Linked DNA regions of Tamandua tetradactyla. The protein of the gene in region 1 binds, or shares a complex with, the protein of each later gene. Links are inferred from orthologs where the notes say so. Each region holds a gene or a part of one and is shown in the gene's direction. Other genes may lie near its edges.

Region 1 (10,524 bases):
GCTATTTTTGTTTCCCCCAATTTAGGGATTAGTGGGGGTGGTTGCCCAAACATGATTTCATATGGGGTAATTCCCTTAACATAGGGAGTATATCTAGTTTCTAGGAGGGCAAATGGAAGGAGACTCACCCAGTTTTTGCCAGTCTCGAGCTTTAGTTTATTTAAAGTTTCTTTTATTGTTCTATTCATTCTTTCAACTTGCCCTGAACTCTGTGGCCTATAAATACAATGTAATTTCTATTTGTTATTTAATATTTTTGCTAACAATTGGCTAACTTGGGCGATGAACACCAGCCCATTGTCAGACCCCATTGCAGTCAGGAGGCCAAATCAGGGACAATTTCAGAAACTAGTTTTTTTACTATTATTTGTGCTGTCTCAGTTCTGGTAGGGAATGCCTCAGTCCATCCAGAGAAGGTGTAGATGAAGACTAACAGGTATCTGTATCCATATGGACCAGGTAATATTTCCATGAAGTCTATTTCCCACTGTTCCCCGGGGCTTGTCCCCTCAGCCTAGTTCCCTGGGGCATTTCTTTCCCTTGGCCGGAATTTACCTGGGCACAGATGTGGTATCTGGACGATACCTGCCAGGCTTGTTGTTGCAATCAGCAAATGTAGTAATCCCTTTGTAAGAGTTCAGTTAGTTTCATACTGCCCAGGTGTGTACATTGGTGAACTTGGGTAACTAAATTTTTCCCCAGGTGCTCTGGAACTAGGAGTCTCCCATCCGGGAGAACTTTCCAACCATCCGGATCTGTTTTAGTGCCCAGAGTTTTGCCCAATTTAATCTCTTCCCCGGTATATTTTGGAGGGCTCGGCAGCACTCACCCCAGTAAAACAGAAAGTATCTGCAGCATCCCCACTAGTTTTTGGGCAACCTCTTTTAACATTTTATCAGCCAGGGCATTTCCTCTGGCGATTTGAGTTTTGGCAGTCTGACGTCCTTTGCAATGTATAATGGCTGCCCTCTTTGGCAACCAAATAGACTCTAGCAAGGTGAATATTTCTGGTATATTTTTTATTCCCTTGCCTCCCGATGTTAAAAGTCCCCACTCCTGATATAGTGCCCCATGGACGTGCGCAGTTGCGAAGGCATATCTGCTGTCCATGTAGATGTTGACAACCTTTCCTTTTCCCCATCTTAGAGCCTGGGTCAGAGCTATTAGTTCAGCTTTCTGGGCCAAAGTCCCATGTCCTAGGGCCTGAGCCCAGATGACCTGGTCCACAGTTATCACCGCTGTCCCCACATACCTGATTCCCTCTGAGACACAACTGCTCCGGTCTGTATATAATTTTCCATCAGGATTTGGCCAGGGGTTGTCGGTGAGATCAGCCCTCAGGTTCGTGAGAGGTTCCAAAATCTCACGACAGTCATGGATGGGCTCGGACGGATCATCATCCGGAAGCAAGGTGGTGGGGTTAAGAGCCACCATTTTTAGGAAGCAGATTCTTGGGGGATCCAGTAGCAATACCTGATACTGGGTTATCCGGGCATTTGAGAGCCATCTCTCAGGTGGGCTCCTTAGTAATGTTTCTACTGAATGTGGGGCCACTACGTGTAAGTCCTGTCCCAGAGTCAATTTGGATGCTTCTTTTACTAAAATGGCAGTGGTGGCAATGGCTCAGAGAAAGCTTGGCCACCTGGCCACTACATAGTCTAGTCTTTTAGACAGGTAGGCAACTGGTATCCTCCATAGCCCTAGCATTTGGGTGACGACTTCTTTTGCTATTCCCCAGGTTTCAGCGACATGTAGTTGAAAAGGTTTGGATATGTCAGGCAAGGTTAAGGCAGGGGCGCTCACAAGTGCCTGTTTCAGCATCTTAAAACCTTTTTGCTCAGCCTCAGTCCAGGTAGAGCTTCCTCCTTTCCCCCTGTGCTAGTGTATAGGGGTTTTGCTATCTCTGCAAACCCGGGAATCCAGAGCCAGCAATATCCAACTGCCCCTAAGAATTCCCGTACCTGCCTTTTCATTTTTGGTTAGGGTATTTTTAGGATAGCTTCAATCCTTTTAGAAGACAGAGCTCTTTTTCCCCCTTCTAATTCATACCCTAAGCATGTTGCTGAACTGGTGCAGAGTTGGGCTTTTTTGGCTGAGACCCAATAGCCCAACTGGGCTAGTTCCTGTAACAAGTTTTCAGTTGCCTTTTTGCAGTCTGACAGGTTATTAGCTGCCAGTAAGAGGTCATCCACATATTGTAGGAGAGTTATCTCTGGATGCTCTTGTCTAAAACGAGCCAGATCCTGGCTTAAAACCTCATTGAACAGGGTGGGAGAATTTTTGAAACCCTGAGGCAACCGAGTCCAGGTTAGTTGTCCAGAGAACCCCCACTCTGGGTCAGTCCATTCAAAAGCAAAGATGGGTTGACTTACCACGGCCAGGGGAAGTGAAATGAAGGCATCCTTTAAGTCCAGAACAGTGTAGACCTGCTGGCTGAGAGGTAACAGGCTCAAGAGTGTATATGGGTTAGGCACAGTGGGGTGAATGGTTTCAATTTTTTTGTTTACCTCTTGGAAATCTTGCACTGGCCGGAAATCGTCAGTCCCGGGTTTTTTGGACTGGGAGAAGGGGGGTGTTCCAGGCCGAATGGAAGGGGACTAGAATACCTGCCTCTGAGTCTTTTGATATGGACTGCAATGCCTTTTTTAGGCTTTAAGCTTATTGGGTACTGTCGGACTCTGATTGGGGTGGTGGTGCTAGTCAGCTGGACAACAATGGGAGGCCAGTGGGTGGCTAATCTTGGTAGGTTAGTTTCTGCCCATATGCCTGGTATTTTTTCTTTAAATTCCCGCAAATATGGGCCTGGGGCCAACAGCACCACTTCTGCAGTAAGTGAATATCCAATAAGGGGCAAGTGAGGAAGATTGCCGAGGGTTTTATATTGAAGGAGAGCTCGGCCGAATCATTTTTGAAAGAGATGGTGGCTTGTAATTTCTGGAGAAGGTCTCTCCCCAAAAGGGGGTATGGACACTCTGGCATTACAAGAAACGAGTAGGTGACAGTTCCTTCCCCAAGGTCAGTGATCCTTGTCTTCGTCCATGGGTAAGACATTGTCTTTCCCGTTGCTCCCTGTATGGGGATTTTTTCCTTAGATCTGGGCCCTTCTGCTTGCTGGAGGATGGAGAAGGTCGCCCGAGTATTTCCACAAGAAATTTTATAGGCTTGCCCCAGATTTCTAAGGTGAACTTGGGCTCCCGGGGGCTCAATGGAAAGGAGCGCTGTCCCCATCAATTCACCTCTCCAATTAGAACAGGGGCTGGTTTCAGTCCTTTAATTTCTCTTTTAGGGCATTCATTTTTCTGATGTCCATTCTCTTTGCAGTAGGCACATTAGTAGGCCCAACCTTTTCCTTGGTTTCCCTTTCTTTTTTCAATGGTTTCTTGTCTACCTTTTTGTTTTTCCTTTTTTGGGGTGTGTGTGTGTGTGTGTGCGCGCGTGCGTGCGTGCGTGGTCCAGGAATCGAACTCGGGTCTCCCACATGAAAGGCGGGCATTCTAACCACTAAACTACCTGTGTACCCTACCTTTTTGTTTTTCCTGTTCAGCCATCACGGATATTAAAATTTTGGCTATTTTTTTTTGGGACTGCGTGGTTCCGGGGTTATCTCTGTCATTAAAAGTCTTGCGGGCACTCTCTATCAGTTCGGATAGCACTTTACCCTCAAATCCTTCTAATTTCTGTAACTTTTTTCTTATATCTGGGGTCGACTGGGTGACAAATGCTATATTTACAGCTCGCCTATTTTTGGGTGCCTCTGGATCTATAGGGGTGTACAAGTGGTATGACTCAAGGAGGAGATCAAGGAAAGCGGCCGGAGATTCATCAGGCTTTTGTACGGTTTCACTTACCTGAGATAAGTTGGTTGGCTTCTTGGCCGCCACTTGTATTCCCCAGAGCAGAGTCCAGTGATATCGATCAAGAGCCTCCTTACCTCTCTCAGTGTTGGGGTCCTGTCTGGGACAGGTGGAGGGGAACATAGCCTCTAATCGGGTTGATTCAGTAGTAGGTTGTCCATCAGGTCCAAGAATTAACTCCCTCGCCTCTCTCCTGACCCAGTCTCATTCTTCGGAGGTGAAGAGGGCCTGGGGGAGCTGTTGGCAGTCATCCCAGGTGGGCTGGTGCGTCAAAAAGACAGTCTCCAAGAGGGAGATGAGCCCTTGCGGCTCTTCAGAGAAAGAGGGATTCTGGTTTTTCCAATTACACAGATCGCTAGAGGAAAAGGGGACATAGACCATGAAAGGTGGACGGTCATCCCCCAGGGCAGGGCCAACCTGCCTCAAGGGTAAAATTGGAGCTCCAGAAGAATCCGGTGATTGTGAACCAGAAGAAGGGTGGTAAGCAGAACCACTTCTGGTATGGGGGGGACTGAAGGTCACCTCCTGGCTATCAGAGGGGCTGGTTGCCACCTCTTGACCTTTCCTCCCCTCTGGTCTTAGAGGGGGCGGAAGGGCTGTTGGGTATGGGGGAGGGTCCATCGAGAGCAGATCCTCCAAGGGTCCTGTCAATACTGGGATCCCATTAGTTTTTTTTCTTTCTGAGAGAATTTTATTAAGAGGGCCGTTTGGCTTTGGGGGGTTTTCCTTTTTGGGTCTCCATGCAGGACTGTAACCACTTGGGTTTTTCTGTAAAGATTTCAATCCAAATTACCATACAGGGGATTTGGTCAGTGTGGCCTGGATTACCAAAAATCGCCCTTTGGACTTTATAAGCCACAGATAGATCTGTGGTTCCCTCAGGAGGCCACCCAGTACCAAAAGTTGGCTACTCCCATGAACAGAATTTTTCCAAGTCAAAGGTATTGACAGGGGCTCTGTAGTCTCTGGCCTTCGGCTGAAATTCCTGAAAATTTTTAAAAAAACATTGAAGGGGAGTACAGACAGATGAACTTGACTGACCCACGGCAATTAAGACAAGAACGACACAGAATGCGATGAGACCAACAATTGGGAGGAGGGACAAAACAAATCAAAATAAGCAAAGAGCTATCCCTAACTAATTCCTAACCCATAGTCCTGGGCAATGTCTTGCTCCAGGACTGGACCTCAGAAGTAATGCTGCATTCAGCCCTCCAGAGGTCCTCACTGGATCCAATAACAGACCTGTACTCACCGGTGAGGTTTCCAAAAACAGATGACTCCACCAGATTTTCTATAATTTAGGAGAGTCCTGTAGAACCGGCCTGGTCCCTGGTCCTTGCCTGGGGTGGAGGAACGTCTCTCCGAGGCCTTCCCCTATGCTGGACCTTGGTTCCAGGGGCGATCCAGGACCGGTGGTCACCAGATGTCCTGTTAGGGATAATCTTGCTGGGGCCTCCAAATGTTGTGGGGCGCACTGAAAGACAGACCACACAATTCAAAACTGCAAGCCAATTGGGAGTCTTTATTAACCTGCTGGCCACTGCCTCAGAAACCTTCAAGAAGGATGATTCAGAGAGCAGCTCCCAGAGGTTTTCAAGGTGAGCTTATAAAGGCTAAAATCATGTTGTGGTTTGCAGGTGCTAGCAAGCAAGTGTAATTACAGAAGCAGAAAAATGCCATTAACTGTTGCCAAAACACATCCTGTTCCCTCAGTTTCCTAACATTGGTCATTGTTTAACTCTTGGGGACATTTCGCCCCAGATTTTTGGGGACTTTCCTTGCTCCGGCCTGATTTATTGCTCCTGGCCCTCCACAGCCCCCACAAACACTTCTTCATTCTCTGCCCAGATTACTCGGGGATATATCCAGGCTTTACACCAACCTGTACAAACCAACAAGATCTCCTGTCTTATTCAAGTTTATGGTGTTCAACTGAACTGACCACACAAGTCAAATTAGGCAACACCCTACCCAAAGTACAATTTTTTTGCAAATATTTTTTAACCAAATAAGTCTTTGGGTTCTTATCTTTCTGACGTTGGGTCATCAGGTCTTTAACGCAATTAATTCAACTTTTTATTGAGACTCGCTCAAGGAGGGGGTTAAAGCATGTTGACATGAACGAGATTTCCTACTGTTCTCAAGTTCATATAATGGAGCCGGAAAATATTTTCCAATACTGTGGTAAATGCTACAGTCATGGTACACGCACAATGAGAGATTAAAGAAAGAAGACCAATCTGTTCCTGGAGAGGACTGCCATTGGAAGATATAACCTACCTCGCATGCACCACCCACCGGAGGTCAAGGCCGCCAACATGGCGCCCGGGCCGGTGCCGGCCCCGCCCCTTCCCGTCCCCCGGGCCCGCCCCCGGATCCGCCCCCTCCAGCCGGCAGTCCGCGGGAGGTAGCGCAAGCGCAATGTTGGGGGGGGGCGTCGCAGTCGAGTGGCGTCATCGGGCTACGCGAGTCAGGTGCACTAGACTGCTGATGCTGAAAAGTGGCGGCGGCGGACCCGGCGGCTTAAGGAGTTGGAGGCAGCATGAGCGTCTGCGTGCTATTTTTGCGCTCGGCGGCGCGTTCCTGCCGGGCTCTGGCCGCCTTCCCGGCGAGCCGACGCACGCTGCGCACCAGCCCTCCGAGCGGAGCTTTCGCCAAGGAGCTCTTCCTGGGCAAAATCGAGAAGGTAACGCCAGGCCCGAGCTGACCCTTGCTCCCCGGCTCCCACCTTTCGGCCCTAGCAAGCAAAACAGGTGTCGAGCTTTGTCAGTGTCCCCAAATCTGCCTAACTGGAATCACCTGGGGGCGGGGCGTGTTACGAGTCCCACTCCAGCCTTTCCAGAGAAAGGGGCCTGGAGAAACCATGATTTTGACAGCTATTCCAGCTAATTCCTGTCAGGTTAATTTGGGAAACCCTATTCTAGGTGATCGCCAAGCAGAGCTCAACTGGGTTGTCTTAGCCCCAAAATGTGCGAGATTTCTCTGATTTCTAAACAGCGCAGACCCTGCCGCTCCTCGTGGGCTTCCAACTGCTCTTAGGTTTCAGAGCTGAGTCCCGGCTCCGGAACCTACCATTCAGGCTGCCGAAGAACCTGGCTCCAAGGTGCCTTCTTCTCGCCATCCCTTCCGCGGTCACAGTCAATAGCAGCGGTTTGGTTATTAAGCACTTTCCATCCTCTTGTTGTTTGAAGACTTGAAATTGACCTCGGCTCTATGACTTGGGGGGCCTTAGTTCTTCAACCTTAAAATGCATCTAGTCATGCTTCTACCTCACAGTGGTATCTGGAACTGTTTTCTAAGCAGGAAGGTACTGGGTAGAGGTAAGAGGCAGCAGAATTGTTAATGCTGGCGTCAGTGCTTATTTGTGTAACTTTCAGGTACTCACTTAGGTCCCTGTGCCTCAGTGGGCTCTTCTACAGGATAGGAGTATAAACATAATTCATCCTCAGCTAAAGGTGCTGTGCAGTCCAAAGAAAAAACTTTTGTGAAGTGCTTTGAGCAAGGCTTAGCAAAAAGTTGACTGCTGCTGTATGGCTTAAGGAGTCAGTTCCTTTCTCATTAGAACATTCCTCTGCGATTGTTAGGCTGACCCTTTTATACCAGCCGTACAGGTGTAGAAGCTGAGACAGACTGAGAGTGGGTTTTCCTGTCAGTGAGTGCAGATCTAAGTCTTTAAAGTTTGGGAAACCTTTTTTTTTTCACCCTGAATGTGAGGCTGTGTTGTGCTGTCTCCTGGGACCTATGCCTCTAAACAGCATGGCCAGGAAAGGACACAAGCTTTTCTTCCTTCAGGTTTTTGAACCTCTGGTGCCGACTCTCCCATCCTTACTCTCAGCGGTCAAGTTTGCTTCCTGCTTCACTAAGAAAATACCTGCAGTCAAGGAGAACTTTCATCATCACATATACCCTCTCCTCCCCACATTTATACCTATTTCTTCTACTTTCTTCCTATGACTGTGAATGAACTCTCAACTCCCAAAGCCCAGCCTCATCACTAGACCTCATGCCTTCTCACCTTTTCAAGGATCTGATTCACTTACTCTGTCTTTTGTCATCTGCATCATCAGTGTTTCCTTCTCTACTTCATCTCAGGCTTTTGTCATTAACACTCTTCTAAAACTGCTCTCCTGAAAGTTGGTCGTGGCCTGCACATCATCAAATCTAATGGTCTCTTCTCGGTCCTAATCTTGCCCTATCATTGGCATCTGACAGTTCATCCCACCACCCTCTTTGAAGCACTTTCTTCACCTGTCTTCTGAAAGACCATTCTATCCCAGTTCTTCTTTTTACCTCAGTCTGGTCTTACCCAGTCTCTTTCTCAGTTCCTTGACCTCTACACATTCGTCATTCTTTCTGACATACCCAGTTAGAGTGGTATATTCTAAGGCTCGGGCTATGAGTTTATTTCTTCAGTTCAGACTTTATATTTATTTTTCTGCCCCAGAGCTGAACTCCAGACTTTATGTCTACTTTTCTGCCCCACAGCTCCACTTAGATGTTGTCTTAGTTTCTTAGGGCCCCTGTCACGAGCTTGGTGGCTTAAAACACCAGCAATTTATTGTCTTGGTTCTGAAAGCAAGGTCCCTCTGAACCTGTAGAGGAGACTCCTCCCTTGCCTCTTCTAGCTCTTGGTGTTGGCCAGTAGTCTTTGACGTTTCTTGGCTTGCAGCTCCAGCACTTTACTCTCTGCTTCCATCCTCACATGGCTACCTCCCCTGTGTCAGACCCTATTGAGATCACCAGTCCTTTTGGTTTAGGAGCCTTCCAACGCTACTATGACCTCATCTTTCATCATTTTTAAACCTTTTTGTTGTGGTATTATATATGCAACTCAAAATTTCCCATGTGAACCATTGAAGTGTATACTTCACTGGCTTTGATTAAGTTCCCCATGTGCTACCATCAGCACCACCCATTACCAGAACACTTTTGTCACCCAAAACAAGCTCTGCACCCATTAAGCAATAACTCCACATTCTGTTACCTCATCCCACCCCCCCATCTCATCCCATTCAGAATCGTTGCTCTAATTTCTGATTATAACTTTATCTTAATCTGTAGCAACTTTATTTCCAAATAAGGTCCCATTCCGAGGGACTAGGGACTAGGACATCAACATATTTTTGGGAAGGAAGGGTTGGGGGGACACCTTTCAGCCCATAAGAGATGCCTAATAGTTGTCTCAAGTTTAACATTCAAAACTGAGTTGCTGGTCTCTCTACTCCACCACCTTCCTTGTTGTAGACAGTGGCAACTGTTATTTTACTTGTTCAGACTGAACACTGGGAATCCTTATAACTCTTATTCTTATATCCACATCTACTCTGACAACACATCCTGTCTTCCCTTCCTGCAGTTTATATCCAGAATCACCAACCTCAGCTCTCACAGTATTATCGGAATTTGAGCAGGAAAGTGGCAGCAATGCTTAGAATCTCAGAATAGGAAGAGATCATTAAGCTCATCTAGGCCAGCATTTGCCACACTTGCTCTTCCCGGAACTGCCCCTGGGGCTCCTGCCAAGACCAGTGGGAAACTGAGTGGGTGGGCCATTGGGATCTTTCTCCCCACCTCCAGCCTCAATTGGAGCAGCTTGGCTTTTATCTGTTTTATATTATTATTTTTTTCTATGCTAGAGTTGTTTGAGAAACAGTTTCCATGCTTTAAAAACAAACTGAAAATTACTAGTTGAACCCAGCGCCTATGAGACATCCCATTCAATTTTCAAACATTGTAATTGGAGAGTTCTTACATGTACCTGAGCTCAGGGTATCATGTCACAGATACCCTTTGGTCATAGTCAAGGGCCAGTTAGTTCCAGGCTGTTTTCTTATCTGGCATGCTCATGGGTACCAGAATATCTTCCTATAATGCAGCCCATTGCACATGGCCTCAGGAAGAACTAATGAGGCTGTGAAGGAGAATGTGATAGAGATGGATTGATCCTCTGTATATTAAGCTATGGAGATTGGACTTTGTTCTAGGGGCTGCAGAGTGATGGGAGTTATCCTGCATTTTCTTTCTTGATCACTTTGAGGGCTGGGTCAGGGATGGCCTGGAAGCAGGAATTCCTTTGTCAGCTGCCACTTTGAAGTAGGAATCCACCTGTAAGCTTGGAGTCACAGGGCCAGAGAGGAAAGGCTTTGGAGGTTGAGTTGAGGTACAGAGGTCGGAGGGGATAGATTGAGCGCTCTTCTAAAGACCTTTCTGAAGATGCTTGAGGAGTGGTACTGTGAGGAGAGGCAGGGCTCTTGGGAGCTGGCAGTTTTTGACCCATGATGTCCCTTCTCAGCAACCGTGGGTCTAACTCCATATAGTCATCCCATGCTGGCAGCTGCAGGGATCGCTGGAGTGAAGAAAGCCAGAGGGACTGAGGACACAGCAAGATGATTTCAAGGAATGTCTAGTGATGGCTCAGTGGAGAAATCCTGGGCCAGATAGAAACACTGGCCACTTACCAGTTTGAGACGGAGACTCAAAACTAAGTCATTTTCCAGGCCACAAGGTGGAGACAGGAGCAGAGCCAATATCTAACATAAGTAATTAGAGCTACATGTCCCAGGCCATGTAATCTCTTATGAGCCCCACACTGACCTCCTAAGATAAATAGGATCATCTCACTTTGAGAAAGGCTGTTTGACTTGCCCCACAAATCATAGCTAAGAAT
Region 2 (11,295 bases), on another chromosome or scaffold:
AGGATTGCTGTCCCACGTTGCCAGGGAGATTTACACCCCTAGAAGACATATCCCACGTGGCGGGGGGGCAGGGAGGCCAGTGAGTTCACCTGCCGAGCTGGCTCACAGAGGCCACATCTGAGCAACAAAAGGGATTATCTGGGGGTGACTGTTAGGCATAATCATAAGTAGGCTTAGCCTCTCCTTTGCAGGAATAAGTTTCACAGGGGCAAACCCCAAGATCAGGGGCTCGGCCTATTGATTTGTTGTCCCCACTGAGAGCCTCAGTCTTTTATTTGTCTCCCCCACTAGAATGTCAATCCCCAATATCAGAAATACCTTTTAGCCCCCTCACTGCTGTTCCCCAAAGCTGGGACCTGAAGGAGTGCCTGGCAGGAAGGGGGCACATAAGACACATCTGCTGAATGAATCTGAGCCTTCTCGCGGTGGGCTGGGCCCCCCACTACTGTGGTCCTGAGTCCAGGTTGCCAGAAATGTTGGAGAAAGTTCTTCCACAGCTCTTGAATCCTTTCCCATGCTCTTCTCTGGGAGCTGAGGGCTCCCCCACCCTGTACTGTAGTGGGTGAGCTGGCAGGCCCTAGGCCCTGGAAACTCCCGGAATGCCGAGGATGCCCAGGACCAGCCAAGCCAAGGTCAACACCCCCGAAATTTAGAAAGGCATCTGCACCAGACAATGTGGCACCATCGGCACCTCTCAGCAGAGCCACTAGCAGGTTTCAGAAACCATGTGCGGACAGGAAAGTGGAGACGGGGGTGAGGGAGGGGGATGGAGATGCAGGAGAGAAGCAGGAGAGACACCGCCCCCACCCTCCAGACCCAAGGACACAAAATTGACCGAGGGTCGAGGGTCGAAGGTTGAGAGCAGACAGCACTTGGCGCGAGAGTTGGTGACAGGATGCAGCTGGTCCTGGGTCGGCGGAAGGACGGAGGGAGGCAGGGACCGAGAGAAGCTGTGCAGAAGCCAGGCAGCTGGGGGTGCTCTGCTTCTTCTTTTTTTTTTTTTTTTTAGCTTTTAAATTGTACAATATAACATATATACAAAGCAAAGAAAGAGAAAAAGCAATAGTTTTGAAAGCACTCTTCAACAGGTAGTTACAGGACAGATCCCAGAGTTTGTCATGGGCTCGCATACCATCCTCTCAGATTTTTTCTTCCAGCGGCTCCAGAACATAGGAGGCTAGAAGGAATAAATGTACATATTTTTAACATCACAATCGACTTTTTTTTCTTTTTTTGTGAAAAATAACATATACCAAAAAAACAAAAAAGCAATAAATTTCAAAGCACAGCACATTTAATTGTAGACTAGATTTCAGAGTTTGGTATGGGTTACAATTCCACAATTTTAGGTATTTACTTCTAGCTGCTCTATGATACTAGAGACTAAAAGAAATACCAGTTTAATGATTCAGCAATCCTATTCATTTGTTAAAACCTACCTTCTCTTTATAACTCCACCATCATCTTTGATCTTTCTATCCCTCTCTTAAGGGGTGTTTGAGCTATGGCCATTCTAACTTTTTTATTTTAGAAGGATCTGTCCATAATATGAGGTAGGGAGATGGAACTATCTGATGTTCTGGAGAGGCTGGGCCTTCTAGGTTTCAGCACTTATCTGGTTCAGGGACCCGTTTGGAGGCTGTAGGTTTCTGGAAAGTTACCCCTAGTGCGTGGAACCTTTACAGAATCTTATACATTGCCCTAGGTGTTCTTTAGGATTGGCTGGAATGGTCCTGGTCAGGGTTTGGCAGGTTATGATAGGTAGCAAGGTCTACCTGAAGCTTGCATAAGAGCAACCTCCAGAGTAGCCTCTTGACTCTATCTGAACTCTCTCAGCCATCGATACTTTTTCAGTTACACTTCTTTTCCCCTTTTTGGTCAGGATGGAATTGTTGATCCCACGGTGCCAGGGAGACTTTCACTTGGGGCTTCTTTTAAAGCCTCAGATGAGCAGACACAGAGGTAGAAGCAGAGAATCCCAACAAGGATAAGGGACAGTTGCAAGTGTTCTGAGGTTGCTGTGGACAGTAGGAAACAGGCATCCATGCATTCATCCATCACTATCACTAATATGGACTTAACATGTCCCACGCTCTGTTCCAGATGCTGGGAAATGGCACTCAGCAAGACAGACAGAAAACTCCCTGTTCTCTAGACTATAAGCCTTATAACAACGTTGAAGTTCTTGTATTTCATCACGGTCCGTAAAGTGGTGTGCTGGTTTGAAAGGATGTATGTACCCTAGAAAAGCCATGTTTTAATCCTAATCCCATTTTGTAAAGGCAGCCGTTTCTTCTAATCCCTATTCAGTACTGTAAATTTGGAACTGTAATCAGATCATCTCCCTGGAGATGTGATTTAATCAAGAGTGGTTGTTAAACTGGATTAGGTTGAGGTATGTCTCCACGCATTTGGGTGGGTCTTCATTAGTTATACTGGAGTCCCCAAAAAAAGGAAGCATTTTGGGGAATGAGAGATTCAGAGGGAGCAGAGCAGAACGACATAGCCATAAGAAGCAGAGTCCACCAACCACCTTTGGAGGTGAAGAAGGAAAACGCCTCCCGGGGAGCTTCATGAAACAGAAAGCCAGGAGAGGAAGCTAGCAGATGATGCCGTGTTCGCCATGTGCCCTTCCAGATGAGAAACTGACTGTGTTCACCATGTGCCCTCTCACTAGAGAGAAACCCTGAACTTCACCGGCCTTCTTGAACCAAGGTATCTTTCCCTGGATGTTTTTGATTGGACATTTCTATAGACTTGTTGTAATTGGGACATTTTCTTGGCCTGAGAACTGTAAACTAGCAACCTATTAAATTCCCCTTTTTAAAAGCCATTCCATTTGTGGTATATTGCAGTCCGGCAGCTAGCAACGTAGAACAGGTGGTGACACAGTCAGCTGTCTTGTGTTTAGGATACGTACATGGAATATGCGTTCAAGGAGCATGATGTACACAGCCTACTCTCATAGGTTTAGAAAATAGTTAAATACATAGACGAATGGAAGGATCAACGGATAGATAGACAGATAAATGGTTGGATAAACGGATGGATGGATGGATGGATATGTAGATAGACAGGCAGACAGACAGATAGACAGACAGAATCAAATGGTAAATGTGGCAAAATGTTAAAACTGGTGGATCTGGGGCGTGGGGAGGCTGGTGGGGAGATACCTTGGGGTGTCTCCAGTGGCTTTGCTACGCAGCAGCAGGAGTCGGAGAGACAAAATGCATGCTAATGAGAGCATCTGATTCCCCAGTTACCGAGAATCCAGGCCAGGTCTGGAGTGCAGCAGGGGTGAGAGTGGGAAGGGAAAGACTGGGTGAATGTACCCCCCAGTCCCACCCAGCCGGATTCCAAATACAATCGAGTGGGCAACCAGAGGCATCAGCCACCACTGGCGAGGGGAAGGGAGCGGGGACTTCCCTGACCCCCACCCTGGACGACTCAGGCCAGCTCATGTGGGAAGCTGGCATGGATGAGTCTGGGCTTGACTGGCCCGTGAGGCTCCTTGGCTGGGCCAGCCCTGCTCTGGAAATCTCCCCGGAGGGTCCCTTTGTCTGTTTTTTTTTTTTTCTCCCCATAGTGAGATTTTATTGGTTGTTCTGAAGATGAGCACAGACATTATGAACAATTTGTACACAATTCTCAATGCACGTACCAAAAATCTAAAAAGCCATGTAGTTGTAATTCTTTTCTAAAATTATTCCAGTGGCTTTCCAGCTTAAAATTTGGAGGCAAGTTTATCCTATGAAGATGAGCAAGTACCACTGTCTTCAAATGGTGATAAGCTGTTACATCACTAAGTCCCACTAATTCACAATTTACTATTATACACACCACACGCACATTTCCAATCTTCCCCAGCATATGATGAAGTTATGAGGCAAACTGGACTACCACGACCAAGGACGTTACAGTGTGCACGCAGTTCTGACAGGGATAGCCAAGACTAGGGAGCAGTTTTAAGAAACAACTCTACTAAAAAACACAGAACAGAAGTTATTTAAAATGTCCAACATGTACTAAATGCATGACAGCGACTCCAAACCTTCATTTAGTATATGTTGTGTTATAGGGTGTAAAAACGGCCACCCCCCACCCTATGGAACCTTAAGTTGACATCCGAGACAGTCAAAGCCTTCCACGTCAATATCCCACTGTTTTCTGGTTGTATCAAAAAAGAAACAACCAGCAAATAATTTCCCCTCTTAAATAAAAGCATTTACACTTAAAAAAATGGGATGAGGCGAGATTCCAATCTCCTCCCTAAAAATGTTTCTGCTAGAGCTACTAACAACTTGCATTTACAAAATAGTTGATAAAAATATTCCTCTGGGTTGTACAAGAAGGGACAAACAGGGACCACTGATAAGGCATGGGATATGATATTAATCAGACTTGGCTTCTTTCTCTCCTGCTGCATCAGAGGTTGGACTCTCCTCATTTTTAGTTTCTCCATTTCCTGCAGGTAAATCTTTAGTTTCTTGGTTAGCCGCTCCAGCTTGTTTGCCCTTTGCTCCCCTTTTCCCTTTAGGTTGCACTTTTTTGTCTGAAGACTTATTTTTCTCCCCGCCGCCTTTCTTGGCTTCGTTTCCACTTTCTTAGGAGCGGGGGTGGGGGTGGGGGTGGAATCAGAAACTGGCGAGGGGCGGGGACAGGTTTTTCCCCGCCCCTCCATTCCGCGTGGCCCCACCCCTCTGCCTCCTGGCTCCCTGGAGTCCAGCTCAGGGCGAGATCTACTGCGGGTGTGCATCCAGGGGAGCAGAGTTCGCACGCTCTGGGGCACAGCCATCGCTGGGTAGGCACTGGGGATGGGACACACAACCACATACACAGATATGCATGGTGTAGTCGGAAATACAGTCACACACAGATTGTTGCCATCGTAGACAAAGACCCACACAGGGTTGCCTGGACACAGTCACAGAATCACTAGGACAGGGACACACACTTAGGCTCAGCAGGCACACAGTGTCGTCTACTGTCAGTGACACACCAATGGCGAGGAAGAATCACATCCATACAAGTCAGAGACACACGAGCGTGCCACAAACACACACCCAGGGTTGGACACGCAACCACACACTGTCACGGGCTTGGTGTGGTTGGGCCTGTTACACCATTGCTGGGACACAGAGTCACACACAACACAATGAATCACACACTGTGTGTCACGACACATGCAGTCACGTGTGTTACAGACTCAGTCACGGACACACACTGGGAATCAGACACACAGTCGCACATAGAGAGACAGATATGGGGTGTCACACGCACAGTCACATGGACCCCGAAAGTGGGACACCATCACTCGCGCACAAGTTAGGCACAAACGGGAAGTCACAAACACAGTCATTGACCCACTCGTGTCCATACACACAATCACACACACATTAAGGCCCAAAAGCAATCAGGGAAGTGTGCTTATCCATATTGCCAGCCTTTAAAGTTGTGGGACATACACACAAACACACACACACACACACACACACACAGAGTCACAGACACCCAGAAGCTGGTCCAATTACAGGCACACCTGCAGCTATCGACGCAACGGATACACAAAGAATCCACACACACACTCACCCAGACACGCTGTCACACACACCTATGCCTAACCTGGCCCGGCTCACACGGGCACAAACGGGGGCCACCCTACCCCCTCACAGCGTGGTGTGTGACTCTGATCGCCCCCGCACCCCTTGGCTCGAGTTTTGAGACGCCGCAAAGAAGCATAACACCGTCCACACTGTATCACCCCGACATCGGACCCCAGGACACACAATCCGTGAACACACGCAGCGGGGCGGGACCCTCAGTCCCCAGAGAAGGTGGTCTAAGAGTCAAGGCAGACTCCGCGTCCTGGCAGTGGGGGTGTGGGGGTGGGGTCTGCTGAGGGTGAGTGCCCCATAATAATAGCAGACACTTATATGGCAGTTCTGCATAAAGGAACGCAACCAAACCTCAAGCAACCCTATGAGGTTCGGTATTATCATTGCCCCATTTCGCAGGCGAGGTCATCGAGGCACAGTCTCCGAGCTAGAATTAGCAGGACCTTCATTCACTGCAACGACCCTCAGCGCCTGGAACTGCACCTGGCACCGAGCGAGCGCTCAACACATGTTTGTTGCAAAGTGAGGGAATCCACATCTCTTCCAGCTTTAATGAGTCATCTTCGCGTCTCAGGTGGGGAGAAACTGGGGCCTCGGGCAGTACCCATAGGTCCCGGGAGTCCAGCCTCGCAGCGTGGAAAAGTTCCCGCGGGTCCTTCTCCAGCCGCGCTCTCCGGTTCCCAGGATGGGGGGCGGGGGTGGTTTGCCTCCTCAGGGGCGTGGCCGGTCAGTTGTGAGGCGGGACCAAGGTAACTTCGCCTTCCTATTGGTGTTTCCCCTGATGTGGGCGGGAAATCGCTAAACTGGCCTTTTTGATTGGCTGTCGCCCCGGTGGCCCGTGACCCGGAAGGCCTTCGGGCCAACATGGCTGCGCCCAGGGGCAAGCCATAGCCGGCCTGGAGGCCGAGGCCGGCAGCGTTAGGAGGTAAGTGGGACCGTGAGGTGCGCGTGAGGGGACGAACGCGAGCTGCTGGGCCCGGGGGCAGCCGGTTCCGTATCCCCAAGAGTGGAGGGAGGGTCCCAGAGGGAACCAGCCTCCAGGGTCAGGGAGCCATGACCTTTTGAGGTGCCAGGAGGAGACGTGCCGGACAAGGACGCCCGTCGCCCCACGCCCCTTATTTCTTAATTTGCAGATGAGACAATTTAGGCTCAGAGAGGTTAAAACACTGGTCCGTGGTCACACCGCAAGTCGGTAGGGAGGCGGGAATTCCAAGCCGCGTCGGCCTTTTTCTTCCCAGGGATCCAGAATCCAGGTAGCCAGCTGCAGAGTTGTACGTACATCCTGCCGCGGGATTCAGAATTATAGAAGTGTAGCGCTTACTCTCATTCCACTGATACTTGTTGGGTAGCTACTATTTACCAAGCACTGCCCTGATTGCTGGAGATACAACAATGAAGAAGACAGATTCTTGGAGGAACCAAGCTTTGTAGAAGTCAGAAATAAGCCTGAAAGGATTTCAGACACTGAAAACTGCTAAAAATGCATTAGTTGGGGGTGATGAGAGCTTTTAGATTTGGGGTCGGGGACGGTCAGTGGAGGCCTCTTATTTGAACAGAGACAGTCCTAGGGAGATCTGGGGAAACAGAGTTTCAAAAAAGAGAGAAAAGCAAATGCAAAAAAAACTCTGAACCTGGAATAAACTCGGCTTTAGAAACAGTGTAGCTGGAGCTGCCCATGATTGAAGTAGAGTTTGGAAGGGGAGGAGTTAGGGGGTTTTATTTTAAGTGTGATATAACATTGGTGACTTTAGGCAGAGAGCACTGAATTTAGTTTACGTTTTAAAACGCTGCCTCTTGTCAGGGTGGCGACGACTGACTGGAGGCAGCCAAGGGCAGAAGTGGGAGACTGGGTAGGTATCCAGGGACGGGTGATGGATGGAGAGAAGTGGATGCATTGGGAATCAGTTGGGAAGGAGTTCTGGTACTAGTTGATGGATTGCTTGGGGGAAGGAGGGACATAGTGAACTTGCAAAATGTTTGTGGCCTGAAAACTTGAAATGGTGGCACCATTAGGTGGGATGGGGAGAAACAAATTTAAGCAAGGATGTCAGTTTGGAGGAAGTCGAGCTTGAGATGGCCAGATTTGTACCAGAGTGGCTCTTAGGTATTGAGGCTGGAGCTCCTGGCTGGTGTTGGAGATACATTTTTGAGAGTACATAGATCAGCATTTTTCAGACTTTAAGGCACATCAGAGACATCTGGGGCCCTTGCTGAAATGCACATTCTAATTCCGCAGGTTAGGATTAGAATTAAGATTTTACATTTCCAACAAGCTCCCAAGTAATGGTGGTACTGCTGGCCTTAGGGACACAGTTTGAATAGGAAAAGTTTAGAATAGTGGTTCTCTATCTTCGCTGCATACCAGAGTCATTGGGGTGCTTTAAAAATGCTGATGCCGGGGCCCCACTCCTAGTTATTCTGAATTTAATTTATCTGGAGTTTAGCCTGAGCATGAAGATTTTTAATTTAATTTACTTTTACTAAAAATTTTTTCCAACACTTTACTGAGATACATTCATATATCATATAATCGATCCAAAGAATACAATTATTGTCTCACAGTATCATCCCATGGTTGTGCATTCCTCACCACACTCAACTTTAGAACATTTTCATTACTCAAAAACAAACAAATGAACAAAAACAAGCAAACAAAACCCATCACGTCCCATACCCCTTATCCTCCCCTATTATTGACTCTTAGCATTGGTGTGGAGCATTTATTACTGTTGATAAAAGAATATTAAAACATTATTAGTAACTATAGTCCGTATTTTGCTGTAGGTGCATTGTTTCCCATATATCACTGTTATTAACTCCTTGCAATAATGACATACATTTGTTCTAGTTCATGAAAGAAGAGTTAATCACAGTCATTGTCCACCACAGGATTCACTGTTAAGCAGCCCCGTTTTTATCTTCTAGATTTCTTTCTAGTGACATAGTCTACTCTAAACCTCTCCCTCTCAACCACAATCACTCATGTAATTCAGTGCTGTTCATTAAACTCACCATATTGTTCTACCATCACCTCTATCCATTTCCTAATTTAAATTCAATCTAGTTAAAAATCCTACACAAATTAAATATCCATTCCCCATTCTAAAAATGCTCATTCTACCTCCTGGTAACCCATGTTCTAGATTTGATCTCTGTGAGTTTACTTGCTATAATTACCTCATATTAGTGAGATCCTAGAATATTTGTCACTTTGTATCTGACTTATTTCGGTCAACATAATGTCCTCAAGGTTCATCTGTGTTGTCCCAGGCTTCAGGACTTCCTTCCTTCTTACAGCCAAATAATACTTTCTTTATCCACTCGTCGGGTGATGGGCACTTGGGTTGTTTCCATCTTTTGGCAATTGTGAGTAATGCCGCTATGAACATCAATGTGCAAATGTCAGTTCACATCCCTCCCTTCAGTGCTTCTGAGTCTATACCTAGTAACAGGACTGCCGGATCATATGGCAGTTCTATACTTAGCTTCCTGAGGAGCCGCAAGCTGCCTTCCAAAGTGGCTGCACCATTCTATGTTCCCACCAGCCTTGAAGAAGTGTTCCTATTTCTCTACATCCTTTCCAACACTTGTAGTTTCCTGTTTTTTGTTTGTTTGTTTTTGATATGGCCATTCCAGTGCGTGTGAAATGATATCTCACTGTGGTTTTGATTTGGGCATTGGGAATTTTTAAATCTCCCTAGATGATTCTAATATAAACAAAGTTTGAGAACCACTAGAGCTGTGTACAGGAAATACAGAGAAGTGAGGAATAAGTTCACTGATGCCACAAGAAAGCCGACAGATGAATCCAGAATATGGGGTTCTGCAGGCTCATTTTTCAAAGCATCATTCCGCATCAGCGTCATGCAGGAGCTTTTACATGTGCAGACTCTCTGGCCCCACCCCAGGCCGGCGGAATCAGAGTCTGCATTTTACCCAAGATACCAGGTGATGCATATGCGCTGTCAAGTTTGTAAGCATTGTAAATTTTCTAGAAGGAAGTGGGAGGGAAGGGGAAACTGCTGAATGACTGAGAAACAGAGGCCTGGGATCTAGGAAGCAAACCAAGCGGATGTCAAAAGAAGAGGCAGGATGGGAGGGAAGAAGAGGGGGGTGTCACCTGTACCAGGAGGTCCTGAAAAATTGAGGAAGATAAAGCCTGAGAAGTAACCAGTGGCTTAGGTAAGATGTAAGACACGGGGTGGGGCTGCGGCACCTTTACAAGACTGGTTTCCGTGGGATGACGAGAGCAGCAGCCAGGTTGGGGACACTGAGGAAGGAGCCTCTTGGGAGAAACTTTGCTGTAAAGGGAGTAGGATATGGAGCAGAGGCTGGAGTGGTACCTGGGGTCCAGATGGGAGAAACTAGAACAGATTTAAATGGCACTAAGAAGGGTCCAAACATTTTCCAACTTATTCTATGAGGTCAGTGTTATCCTGATACCAAAGCCAAATGCAGACATCACAAGAAAGGAAGACTACAGGCCAGTATCTCTAATGACTGTAGATGCAAAAGTCCTTAATTATGTACTCTGACCATGTGGGGTTTATCACAGACGTGCAACGTTAGTTTAACAGGAAAATCAATTAGTGTCATTCACTATATTAATAGAATAAAGGACAAACCACATGACCATCTTAATGCAGAAAGATCACCCTTTCTTGATAAAAACACTCCACAATTCTGAATCAGTGGCAACTGGTGTCAATGAGAGAAATGCAAATGTAAACTAGGGAAGATATAAGGAATACAAAGTAGTTTATTATTCAAAGACTCTCTTGCTATAAAACAAAACAAAAACACACACTCCACAAACTTATAGAAGGAAACTTACCTTGAGAAAGGGCATCTCCTACATAATGGTAAAAGACTGGATGCTTTCCTGCTAAAATCAGGACAGAGACAAGGATGTCTACCCCCACCACATCTATTCAACATTGTACTGGAGGTTTGAGCTGGGGCAGCCAGGCAAAAAAGAAATAAAAGGCACCCAGATTAGAAAGGAAGAAGGAAAACTAACTTATTCAGGCATAACATGGTCTGGCTATAGAAAATATATGAAAATACATGTTCATCCTAAGGCATGCACAAAATAATGATTAGAGCTAATAAACAGATCCAGGAAGGTTGCAGAAGAGAGGATGAACATATAAAAATAAGCTATATTTCCATATACAGCAAACAGCGTGAAAATGAAATTAAGATCGTTTCCATTTACAATAGCTTCGTAAAGAATAAAATACTTAAGAACAAATTTAACAAAAGAAGTACAAGATTTGTTCACTGAAAACTATACAAAACGTTGAAGGAAACCAGGAAAGATCTAAATTGTTAGAGAGACATCCCATGTTTGTGGATCAGAAGACTTAATTAAGATGGGAGCATCTCCCAAATTGATCTACAAATTCAACAGAGTCCTTATCTCTAGAATCTCAGCTATCTTGCTTGTAAAATTTGCTAGCTGATCCTAAAATTCTCGTGAAAATACAAAGGACCCAGAATAACCAAAACAATCTCGAAAAATAACAAAGATGGAGAACTCACATTCCCAGTTGCAAAATTTACTACAAAGCAACAGTAAACAAGACACTGTGGTACTGGTATAAGGCTAGATAGATAGCGCAATAAAAGAGAATTAAGAGTCTGGAAATAAACCCTTACATGTACATGTTGATTTTCA
Region 3 (10,679 bases), on another chromosome or scaffold:
CATGTTTTGTGCAATGACTTGCTTTTCACCACTATGCTGTAATCTTTCCATGTCAGCACACAGATCTAGCTTACTCCTTTCTAAGGCTGTACTGTTTCCCATTTATGGATATAAGCTGTTGGTTTTAAAGCAAATATAATGAGATTAAAGAAGTTCAGAAATGATTTATTACAATTAATCAAAACCAAGAAATAAAGCTTAAGAGTAAGATGACCAGATTTTTTTACTCTCATAAAAGAAAAGTTTGATAAACAATGGTCTCAATGATATTTATGATAGTTAAATTCCAAATTTTAAAAGAAACTGTAAACCAAGAAGAAAATATTAGACAAATCACAATGACTTAAAAAACCTTAAGAATTCATTAGTTGTTTTATCAATCTTAATTGTATGCATACATGAAATATCTTAACAAAGTTTTCAAAAAAAAAAATTCAACTTCAGTAAATAAACATCTGGAGTTCAATCAACTTTTTCTTTTTAAATTTTTAACCAGTAAAACATATATATGATTAATTATTAAAATAAAGTTGTACAAAAGGGTGTATAATAGATACAGTCTTTTCTACATTTCAGGTACAGTGGAATCTCACCCACTAGACAAAATCTCGAATAGCACCAGCAGACTCCATTAATCACCGAGGACTGTGAAAATGAGTCCCAGAGTCCCCAGCGGTTTACTCACACCTGACATCAGAATGAGAGATAGTGGAAAGGCTCTTCAATGCAAAATATTAAAAATGAGATACTTAAAAGAAAAAAAGCAATATTCCCATCTTCAAACAGAAGCCTAAAGTTATGTTTATCTTATCCTATCCCTCGTGGACACAAAAGAGCTAAATAGTTTTGTGGTCAGTCATGCTGACATAATCTGCAATGCGATGGGGTACAGAAAGTATCTTTTCTCTCCTAAGTGGCAGCAAACATTTTCTGACAGGAAATAAGCCCCAGCTGCCATGACAAGTGAGCACTTGAATTATATCCTACTGCAGCGGAGATCTACAGTACAAGATAACTGTACAGCAAAATTGTCTCAATATTCCCAAATAACTCATGTCGATAATTATAACAATTGCTTTATAAACCACCCCAGAAAAAATAAATCACCGAGAAAGATTCAGATGCTTGAATTGAAGAGGGATGAAGTTAAAAATTCAACTTCTTAAAAAAACCAATTATAAAAGACTTCTTGTGACAATTAGGACTATGGGCCAGGGGGTTGGGGCTGGCACATGAGGGCACACAGGCCCAATCTGGCCTTCTGCCCGTTTCGGTACATGAGTATTACTGGAACGCAGCCAAGCCACTTCATCTACACATCATCTATGGCTCTTTTCACCATCTGAATGCAGAACTGAATAGTTGTGACAGAGATTAGATGGACTGCAATGCCTCAAATATTTACGCTGCAGCCTTTCACAGAAAATCGTTTGCTGAACTCTGGTCTAGGGAGTTAAGTATTAGGGAACTGGGGATACTGGTCTTGGTCTCATAATGACACTGTAGTTAAGACAGAGGACGTCTGTGTCCCTAAGAGATGCGTGCTGAAGGAGCTGGGGGGAAGTACCCTGATGACTGTGACTTAGGAGGTGGTTGGGCAAGACAAATCACAAAAAATGTAGAGATAAAGTTCATATGACAAAATGCCAACTGTGGTTGAATCTAAATGGTGGGGATAGGGTGTCCCCTTGGCTGTTCTTTCAGTGGTTCTACATCTTTGAAGTCTTTCATAATGAAAAGTCGGACAAACAATTCACACAGGTTTATATCCCGTTCTTTCTGAAGGCTATGGCCCCAGATGGAATGGCATTTTTTAGCAAAGGACTCAGCACATTAAAATTCTACTCAAACAACGAACTGTTTGAGAAAGCCCTGGGGTCCACTCTAATTAGATTTTGCCTGGTTAGTTACTTGTTTCTGCAAGAAAAGATAACCCATTCTTCTGCTTCTGGTTTATACTGGACTTATCCATGTTTGGGAATTCATATATTGAGGAAGGGAAAGATTGTATAATGAATATATTTTTTGCTGAAATATTTTTATTTAGAGCAAACAGGAATAACTATCTTTTAATTAGACTTTTTTTTTTACTGTAAAAACTTATTTTCTGGGGAAGAATTAGCTTTACTCAAAGGTCTGACCTTTGCCCTCAGCTACCTGGAGGCGATTCTGGTCCCCTGGAATGTCCTGCCTGATATGAGTGTCTTTGTTTGCCTGGGGGCTTTGGTCACCAAATAGTTGACCAATTATGATGGGGGTTTTAAGCCATATGAGCAGTTCTGACCTCTGGAGGAACTGGAGAGTTAAGCTGAAGGGGCTGGAGACTAAAGGTCAGCCATGCGGGCAGTATATGATTAAGCCCTGATAGAAACTCTGCAAACCAAGGCTCAGGCAAGCTCCCCTGGTTGGTGATACTCTAAGTGTATTGTCACACACAGTGGTCAGGAGAGGGTGACACAATCCAGGACTTCATGGGGAGTGGAAGACAGAAACTTTACGCTTGAACCCTTCCCAAAATTTGCTCTATGCATCTCTTGCCTGATTCTAATTCGTATTCTTCCCCCAAATAAAACTGTTATTGTAATTTTATCACTTTCCTGAGTTGGGTAAGTCCTTCTACTGAATCACCGAACCTGATGGTGGTCATGGGAACCCCTAAACTTGTAGCCAGCTGGTCTGACATGAAGGTTGTCTTGGGTGCCTGTGAACTTGCGGCTGGTATCTGGAGTGAGGGCAGTCTTGGGGGACTGTTCCCTGTGACTTTGCAGTTTGGCAAACTCACTGCAAGTTCAATGCAGAAAAACAGCCTGTTTCAAATGTTTTAAGGTATGTTGGTTTGAAACCGTTGTGTACCCCAAAAAGTTGTGTTCCTTAATCTTGATTCAATATTGCTGAATGGGATCTTTTTGATGAAGTTGTTTTCATGGAGATGTGACCCACCTAGTTATGGGTGGGCCCTTTTGATTAGGTGGTTTCCATGGAGATGCATCTCCACCCATTCAAGATGGGTCACTTACTGGAGTCCTTTACGTGGGAACCATTTTGGAAAAAGCTTCAAAGCTAACCCAGAGAAGTCTAGAGATACAGAAATAAAATGCCCCCAGGGGAAGTTGTTTAAAGAAGCTGGAAGAGAAAGCTAGCAGGCATCACCATGTGCCTTCCCAGCTGAGAGAAAAAAACCCTGAATGTCATCAGTCCTTTCTTTAGTCAAGGTATCTCTCCCTGGATGCCTTAGTTTGGACGTTTTATAGTGTTAGAACTGTAGATTTGCACTTTAATAAATTCCCCTTATAAGAGCTGTTTCATCTCTGGTTATCATATCCCAGCAGCATTAATAAACTAAATCATAAGGGATTACACTGCAGGTCACCTGGTTTCTTTACTATTTCAAGCTTTAAGCTCAGACATTCTGAATCTTTCTGAGAATCTAAAGCACTTTTCCAAACAGCATCCATAACAACTGGAACAGCTTCCGTAGGAAATGGCAAATGTGGCAAACAGCGATGCCCTAGGGTCCAGGGATTTGTAGCAGGTCTGCTGTGTGAAACTGAGAAGGTCAAAACTGCATGGGATCTCAGGTACCTTATGCGTAAATTGGGAATAACAACTATCCTACTTGGAGTGGAAGAGGGAGGAAAGAAGGTATGAGAGGATCCAATGATATTGTGTAAAAAAAGTTTTGGAAATAAAAACTTAGACCAAGGATCAATCAGCCATGGTCCACTGGCCAAAGAGAGCAGCTGCTTGTTTTTGTAAATGAAGTTTTATTGGAACACTGCCATGCCCATTTGTTTACATGTGGTCTATGGCTGCTTTTTTTTTTTTTTTAACATACCATACACCCACCAACCACCAGCATCTCAACCTAAGTTTATTTTAACATTTACTCCCCCATTATTCATTTTCATTCCATATGTTTTACTCGTCTGTTGATAAGGTGGATAAAAGGAGCATCAGACACAAGGTTTTCACAATCACACAGTCACACTGTGAAAGCTGTATCATTATACAATCATCTTCAAGAAACACAGCTACTGGAACACAGCTCTACATTTTCAGGTAGTTCCCTCCAGCCTCTCCATTACATCTTGACTAACAAGGTGATATCTATTTAATGTGTAAGAATAACCTCTAGCATAACCTCTCGACTCTGTTTGGACTCTCTCAGCCACTGACACTTTATTTTGTCTCATTTCACTCTCCCCGCTTTTGGTCAAGAAGGTTTTCTCAATCCCTCGATGCTGAGTCTCAGCTTATTCTAGGATTTCTGTCCCATGTTGCCAGGAAGGTCCACACCCCTGGGAGTCATGTCCCACGTAGACAGGGGGAGGGTGGTGAGTTTACTTGTTGTGTTGGCTGGAGAGACAGGCCACATCTGAGCAACAAAAGAGGTTCTCTTGGGGGTGATTCTTAGGACTAATTTTAAGTAGGCTTGGCCTATCCTTTGTGGGGTTAAGTTTCACTATGGCTGCTTTTGCATTAGAGTTGAGTAGTTACTATAGAAAAAAGGGTCTGCAAAGATGAAAATTTACTGTCTGGCCCTTTACAAAAAAAGAATTGCTGATCTTTGTCTTAGACCGCTGTGGACCTTTAGCAACCCACAAATGTGTGCTATCACTGAACCTCAGGGCCTTTGGAGAACTTGCCAGACAGACTGAACCTGTGGCTCAGAGGATAAAATGACGTGACTAAGGTCACACACATATAACGTGGAATTCTGGGTACACCACTGCCCACTCAGCTAAAAAACAATGGCAGGAAAGGGAATAGGGTAGAGGGGTTGTACTTGAGGACGGTAAAGCTATTTGGGCCCAGCCTCAAATCTCAATGGCTGATGCTGAGCAATCAATTTGTGCAGGAGATAATAGTGAGCCTCATCACAAATGCCGATTTTAGCTGAAACCTATCCATATCTATGGCAGCAAAATCTGGGAATGAGAAGCAAGAACCTAAAAAGTCCGAGAGAAGTCTCAACAGGTAGCCTCTAACTTCAACTCCTCTGCTGTCCAGATCCACTGCAGGGGTGAGAAAGGAGGGTGGTGGCTCACACTTATTAAAGCCTGCTGCGTGCAAGACACTTTTACAAGCTTATTTTATTTCATCTGATCCTCACGAATAACATAAAAAATACAGAATGTCCTCACTTAAAGCTGCAGACTGAGGTGTAGAGAGGTTAAGTGACTTGCTCAAGGTCACACAGTGGTGAAGCTGAGACTCGCCTAGGACTGCCTGACCCCGAATTCTTTGATTTTAATATTAGGCTACACAACACAGCTCATGGATAACGGGACCTCAGAAGGCACATGGCTGGTAAGGAGCCCTGAGCTGTGGTTCAAATCCACGGCCACCAGCCCGCAGGACTTACGGAGAGATTCTAGAACTGCACTTTTCAATCCAGTGCAAGTTTCCTGCTCTCAGGCGTTTTTTGGTTCCGTCCCATCACTCAGAACACCCTGAGGTCTTGAAGAATTGTACAGGGCTTTCTTCACATCCCTCCAAGACACCAGATTAAGACTCAGCCCCTTGGAGTTGGTAGGAGGTCATTAGCCGACCGGAGGTGGTCCTCAACCGCCCTCGCCGCCCACCCAGGGCGTCGTTAGTCCCGTCTGATCCCAGCAGAGGGCTCCACACCGGCTGCCGCCGGCCCACCGGGCGCCGCCTACCTGCCGCGGGGCCGTCAGAGTCCCGTCCACGTCGAAGAGGCAGAGCACTGGGCCGGGGTCCGCCATGTCTCCGGTCCCGTGACCACCTAAGAGGACTCGTTGGCACCAGGAACTCAACCCGGAACTTCCTGGTCCGGCCCACGTGCCGCAGGGCAAGCCGGGAGGCGGAGAATCTACTCCCACAATGCCTGGGGACTAGCAGCGACTACTTGGCTTTGGACCACAGCGACCAGAATGTAGTGCGCCTCGACGTTGTCGTTGCACGTATGCGCATGCGCCCTTAGAGGTCCGGAGGCAGGCGGGATTCACTTCCGGCAGCCGGCTGCGGGGCCATGGTAAAAACGCGAGTAATGGAATGAGGGAGGAATTGCGTTTTCCGGGGTTAGGGTAGAATTGGGGCGGACGGGCAGGACGCCCGAGTTTCTGACTCGGAGAATCCGCGGGAAGAAACTTCGGCGTGGGTTGCACTTAATTTTCTGGCTTCCTGTGCCCTCCATAGGTCACATGGGCTGATAATAGTGATGGCTAAAACTGACCGAGCGCTCACCTGTTCAAGCGCCGTGTTGAGGACTTTCAAATCATTTTATCTTTCACTTTGCTGTGAATCCCCATTTTTAAAGATGGGCAAATGGGCTCTCAGAGGTGTTGAGTAACTTGTCCAAGGAGATACAGCTAGTGACGGTTGGAGCCAGGTTGGGACCCAGATTGGGACCCAGATCTGGCTTCAAGGCCCGGGGCTCAGAGCTTTTTCCATTTTGTTCCACAAGGTGTAGAACTGCGCGCCTAGGATAATCTTTTCCCCTTCCCCTCTGCTGTTTTCCTCTCCTGAGCTAGGCTAAGGAGTTAGTTAGCAGTTAGTTGGTTAGGCACCCAAGCTAACGCATAAACCTGACAGAGAATTGAAAAGTTATTATCATAAGTATCTCACTGATTTCTTGCTCCAGTATCCTGATAGGACACTGATTGTTTACTGGGGAAGTGTCCACACAGCCTTGTGGATCCAGTGCTCAGCATAATGCCAGGCCCACAGTTGACCCTTATTAGTTATTTGTGGAATGAATGAAGGCTGGTCCCCCTTTTCTTACCTTTTTGGAACTGCCTGGAGGTAAGAGGAACGTTTTGAATGTCAGACCTGGCCTCCCTCACTAGCTGTCCATTTTGGGGCAAATTTTTTTTATCCTTTGTGGGTTTGGTTTCCTCAGTGGTAAAGTGGAAGTAGTGCTCTCTACTGCACATAGCTGGTGCAAAGGGCACTTGAGGTAGAGCATCTGGTTTTACCTTTCTCTTCATCTCTGGTGTCACTGATGACCTCAGGATGAGGGGGGAGTCTCTGTGTGAGAAGCCTTGCAGATTACTATGATGGAGTTCTGTAAGAGAAATGTTCTCCTTTCTCCCTTGCAGGCTGCCCTTCTCCGAGCTATACCCCGGTTGCGGGGACCAGCTGCGTGGGGAAGGCCTCTCTATGGGCTGTGGTGCTGCACTGAGCAGGATCCCAGGAGGTGCGTGGGGACCAGGTCACCCACCTCAGAGGAGAAACCACCAGACCCAGAGAAAGAGAAATTCCGTATGGTCTACCGGTTTGATGCCATCAGAGCCTTCGGGTATTTGTCTCGACTGAAGGTGGCACAGACAGCTCTGACAGTAGTGGCCCTGCCCCCAGGCTTCTACTGGTACTCCCAGGGCCTCATGACTCTCGACTCTTTGTGCCTTGTGGCTGGGATAGCTGGCTTTGCCCTGGCCATGTTGTGCTGGATGAGCTATTTCTTCCGAAGACTGGTGGGAATCCTGTATGTCAGTGAGTCGGGCACCATGCTGCGTGTAGCACACCTGAACTTCTGGGGGTGGCGGCAAGATACATACTGCCCTGTGGCTGATGTGATCCCCCTGACGGAAACCAGGGACCGGCCTCAGGATGCGTTCATGCGAATTCAGCAGTACAGTGGGAAACAGACCTTCTATCTCACCCTGCGCTATGGACGCATCCTGGACGAAGAGCGGTTCACACAGGTGTTTGGGGTCCTGGACACACTCAAGTGAATCCCTAGCTCTGGTCACCTAGATCTCTGAAGGGAAGACTGAGCGTACAGGGCAAGGCTGAAGAAGAGGATTGGACAGTTGGAGTCTTTGCCAGGACCCCTGGGAACTTGTCTTTTGGGAAGAGGAAATTCATGAGGCAGAAGCTAGTAATCAGGTTTAGAAAAAAGATCCTTAGTGCAGATTCTTAACTGCAATTTGTGTATATGACATTAAGTCAAATAATGACAGTTCATGGAGGAGGCTACGTCAGGTTCACCTGCATGGTACACAGTTGGGAAATTAGAAAACAGAGATGTGGCTGGGGGAGCCCAGGATTTGGAGTCTGAAGACTCCCAAGTTTTTCATTTCTCAGCTTTCTGTTGAGGGTAGGTTCTTGAATGTCTTTGAACATTGGTTTTCACATCCACAAAGTGGAGAGTCCTGCCTGTCTCCTGGGATGGGTATAAGGATAAACAGTAAATATCCGAATGCTTTGAAAACTCAGTGACCCTGAGCAAATACTAAGCTTTACGTCACAGTCCCAGACACTGCTCTGTTCTGAGGGTACCAGAGGTTCATAAAAGCCTTGGAGGTGTTTGTCGTTGAGTGTCTTGTGGCAGGACAGACATTAGACAAATAAACCTATGTTGTTACAAGTGGTGGCGAATGCAATGGGAGAGTGGGGTGGTTGGGGTGGGGAGGGGCATGGAAGGGACCTTAAATAGAGCCCTGAGATGGAAGTAAGAGGCAGGCACAGAGTTTGTTTCAGTCCAAGGAAACTGTGAGTATGAGCTGGGGAGAGCTGGGTGCATTTGCTGAGGAACAGAGAAGATGTGGAAGTGGAGCTAGGGAGGGAGGAAGAGCAAGGTCAGGAGACCTGCCTTGTTGGCAGGAGGGAAAGATTTTGAATTTTATCGATATCACAGTAGGAAGCCTTTGAAGGTCAGAGAAAGGAATTAAAACTTTTTTTTTTTAAGAACAAGAAATCACAGCTACTTTTAAAAAAAAATTTATTAATTAAAAAATTAAGAACAAAAACATTAAACATTAACATATAATTCTGTTCTACATATATATTCAGTAATTCTCAATATCATCACATAGTTGCATATTCATCATTTCTTAGAACATTTGCCTCAATTCAGAAAAATAAAAAGACAACAGAAAAAGAAAACAATAACAGAAAAAAAAATTATACATACCATATCCCTTACCCCTCATTTTCATTTATCACTAGCATTTCAAACTAAATTTATTTTAACATTTGTTCCCCCTATTATTTATTTTTATTCCAAATGTTCTACTCGTTTCTTGACAAGGTAGGTAAAAGGAGCATCAGAGACAAGGTTTTCACAATCACACAGTCACATTCACAGCTACTTTTAATGTTTATTCACCTTTACTTAAAGATACACATGAAGGGACTTAGGCTTACTGGTTTGTTTCAGTTGTTAAATTCCCTTTACACTTCAGTTCCTGCCAGTGGGAGAAAGGGCATGGTGGTTGGGGGAGGTATGAGTTTGTCCTTCATGCTTGGAGACACTGCGCACCCACTGCCAGTCTTTGTGCCCCAATAGTTTTCCTAGATAGAGGGGCCTGGAGGGGAGGACGAGTGGCATTTATACATTCTCAGCATACAGTGATTCTCACAAAGTGAGACCAAGAGCATGGCAGTGGGCCTAGAGAGCCCCAAATCCATACAAAAGTGCTTGCTCTTTCTTCAAGGTACATGCCAAACCATTCCATTGACTTAGGTCTTATGATGACCCTATTTTAAAAATATATTCAGGATCAGACCACTACTCACTCCCTGTACCATTACCACCCTGATCTAAGCTGCCTGCATCTTTGGATAGCTGCAGTCCACTGCATCCTTCCTGGCTCTACCAGACCCTGTTCTCATATCAGCAGTGATCCTTCAAGACTGGATACTGCTGTAAAAGCCAGAGTCCTTACAATGGCCTACAAGGCTCAGCATGGTCTAGCCCAGACCTCCCCAGAGCTCTGCTCTGTATGACTCAGGCACACTGACCTTCTCCAAGAAGCAAGGGCACTCCTGCCTCAGGACCTTTGCACTGGCATTCTCTGCTTAGAAGGCTTTTTCACTAGATACCTGCACAGAGGGCTCTTCCTTCAGTTTCTCCCCCTGTATAGTGGGGACATTATTTCTGTTCAAGAAGCTGTAGTGAAGGTTCAATTATGAGGCAGTGTTGGGCATGTGATAGGTGTGTTCCCTTATGATTGTTTTCCTCACCTGCTTCTCAGCCCCTTCTGGGATCAACTGAAGCTTTTCCCCTCAAAGACATACAGTCTATAGCTATGAAATGTCTTAAGAGGTATGAGTGATTTGACCTTGATCTCATTAAAGCCAAAAATTAATTCAAATGCCCTCCCTCAGTGTTAGGCTGGTTGTAAGCAATTATCTGAGTGAGCCTCACCCCTGGAGGTTCTGACCGTGTAGGTCTGGGGTGGAGCCTGAGAGGCTGTCTTTTTTGGCAAACTTGAACCAACTCCGAAATGCAGCCAGGTGGGGACATTTCTGAAATAGACTGCCAGGACAGAGACCCTAAAATGGGACATGCTTCTGCAGATCTTGTGTTCCTAGGCCGTTTTTGTTTTTTGGTCTCCAGATTGGGTCTTCAGGCTTACCTCCATGTATGGGATCACCTCGAAAGCCTTTTAAAAATACCAGTGCCCAGGTATTGCTATTTGAAAGGTCCCCCAGATGATTCAGATGTGCAGCTAGGGCTGACAAAACCTGCCCTAAAGTAGTCACATTGGAGCCTGCAAGGAAGGACTGTGAGCCCTTAGTCTCACCAGGCCACTCCGATTTGTGGTCTGCCCACACAGTACCAGCAGAGGTCGCACCGAACAAATGTTATTCTATCCACTTAACTCCTAACTAAAGCCACAGCTCTCCACGTAACAATGGGAAGTGGCTTAGGGCTTCTGCATGACAACGCTAGAACAGGATCGGGGAACCCCAAATCAACAAGCAAC

Evidence for each region. Proteins that work in one complex are often made in the same cells at the same time.
Region 2: the proteins of ACAD9 (region 1) and ECSIT are in contact, whole or in part, in a cryo-EM structure (PDB 8PHE), measured with the Homo sapiens proteins. The link is inferred for Tamandua tetradactyla from reciprocal best matches to the Homo sapiens genes ACAD9 and ECSIT. Residues at the interface, in NP_054768.2 of Homo sapiens: Leu180, Thr181, Asp188, Ala189, Ala190, Ser191, Ile192, Lys228, Lys239, Asp240, Lys241, Ile242, Phe293, Ala296, Met297, Leu300, Ile431, Met434, Tyr435, Leu438, Thr439, Leu441, Gln442, Gly445, Thr449, Leu516, Gly520, Lys521, Ile523, Met524; in NP_057665.2 of Homo sapiens: Pro321, Glu322, Glu323, Trp324, Asn325, Leu326, Tyr327, Tyr328, Pro329, Met330, Leu332, Asp333, Leu334.
Region 3: ACAD9 (region 1) and TMEM186 share a complex: the UniProt entries of both Homo sapiens proteins name them as parts of the mitochondrial complex. The link is inferred for Tamandua tetradactyla from reciprocal best matches to the Homo sapiens genes ACAD9 and TMEM186.

What each region holds. Positions count from the first base shown.
Region 1 is NC_135335.1:32,577,757-32,588,280, reverse strand, and holds the start of ACAD9 (complex I assembly factor ACAD9, mitochondrial), read left to right. Parts: upstream 1-6,296; 5' UTR 6,297-6,399; coding exon 6,400-6,543; intron 6,544-10,524. UniProt on the Homo sapiens protein: As part of the MCIA complex, primarily participates in the assembly of the mitochondrial complex I and therefore plays a role in oxidative phosphorylation.
Region 2 is NC_135337.1:90,395,668-90,406,962, forward strand, and holds the start of ECSIT (evolutionarily conserved signaling intermediate in Toll pathway, mitochondrial), read left to right. Parts: upstream 1-6,451; 5' UTR 6,452-6,540; intron 6,541-6,748; exon of another isoform or gene 6,749-6,868; intron 6,869-7,416; exon of another isoform or gene 7,417-7,465; intron 7,466-11,295.
Region 3 is NC_135349.1:48,648,136-48,658,814, forward strand, and holds TMEM186 (transmembrane protein 186), read left to right. Parts: upstream 1-5,956; 5' UTR 5,957-5,995; coding exon 5,996-5,998; intron 5,999-7,064; coding exon 7,065-7,700; 3' UTR 7,701-8,335; downstream 8,336-10,679. Other genes in the region: PMM2 (phosphomannomutase 2), read right to left, coding at 5,664-5,729. UniProt on the Homo sapiens protein: As part of the MCIA complex, required for efficient assembly of the mitochondrial complex I.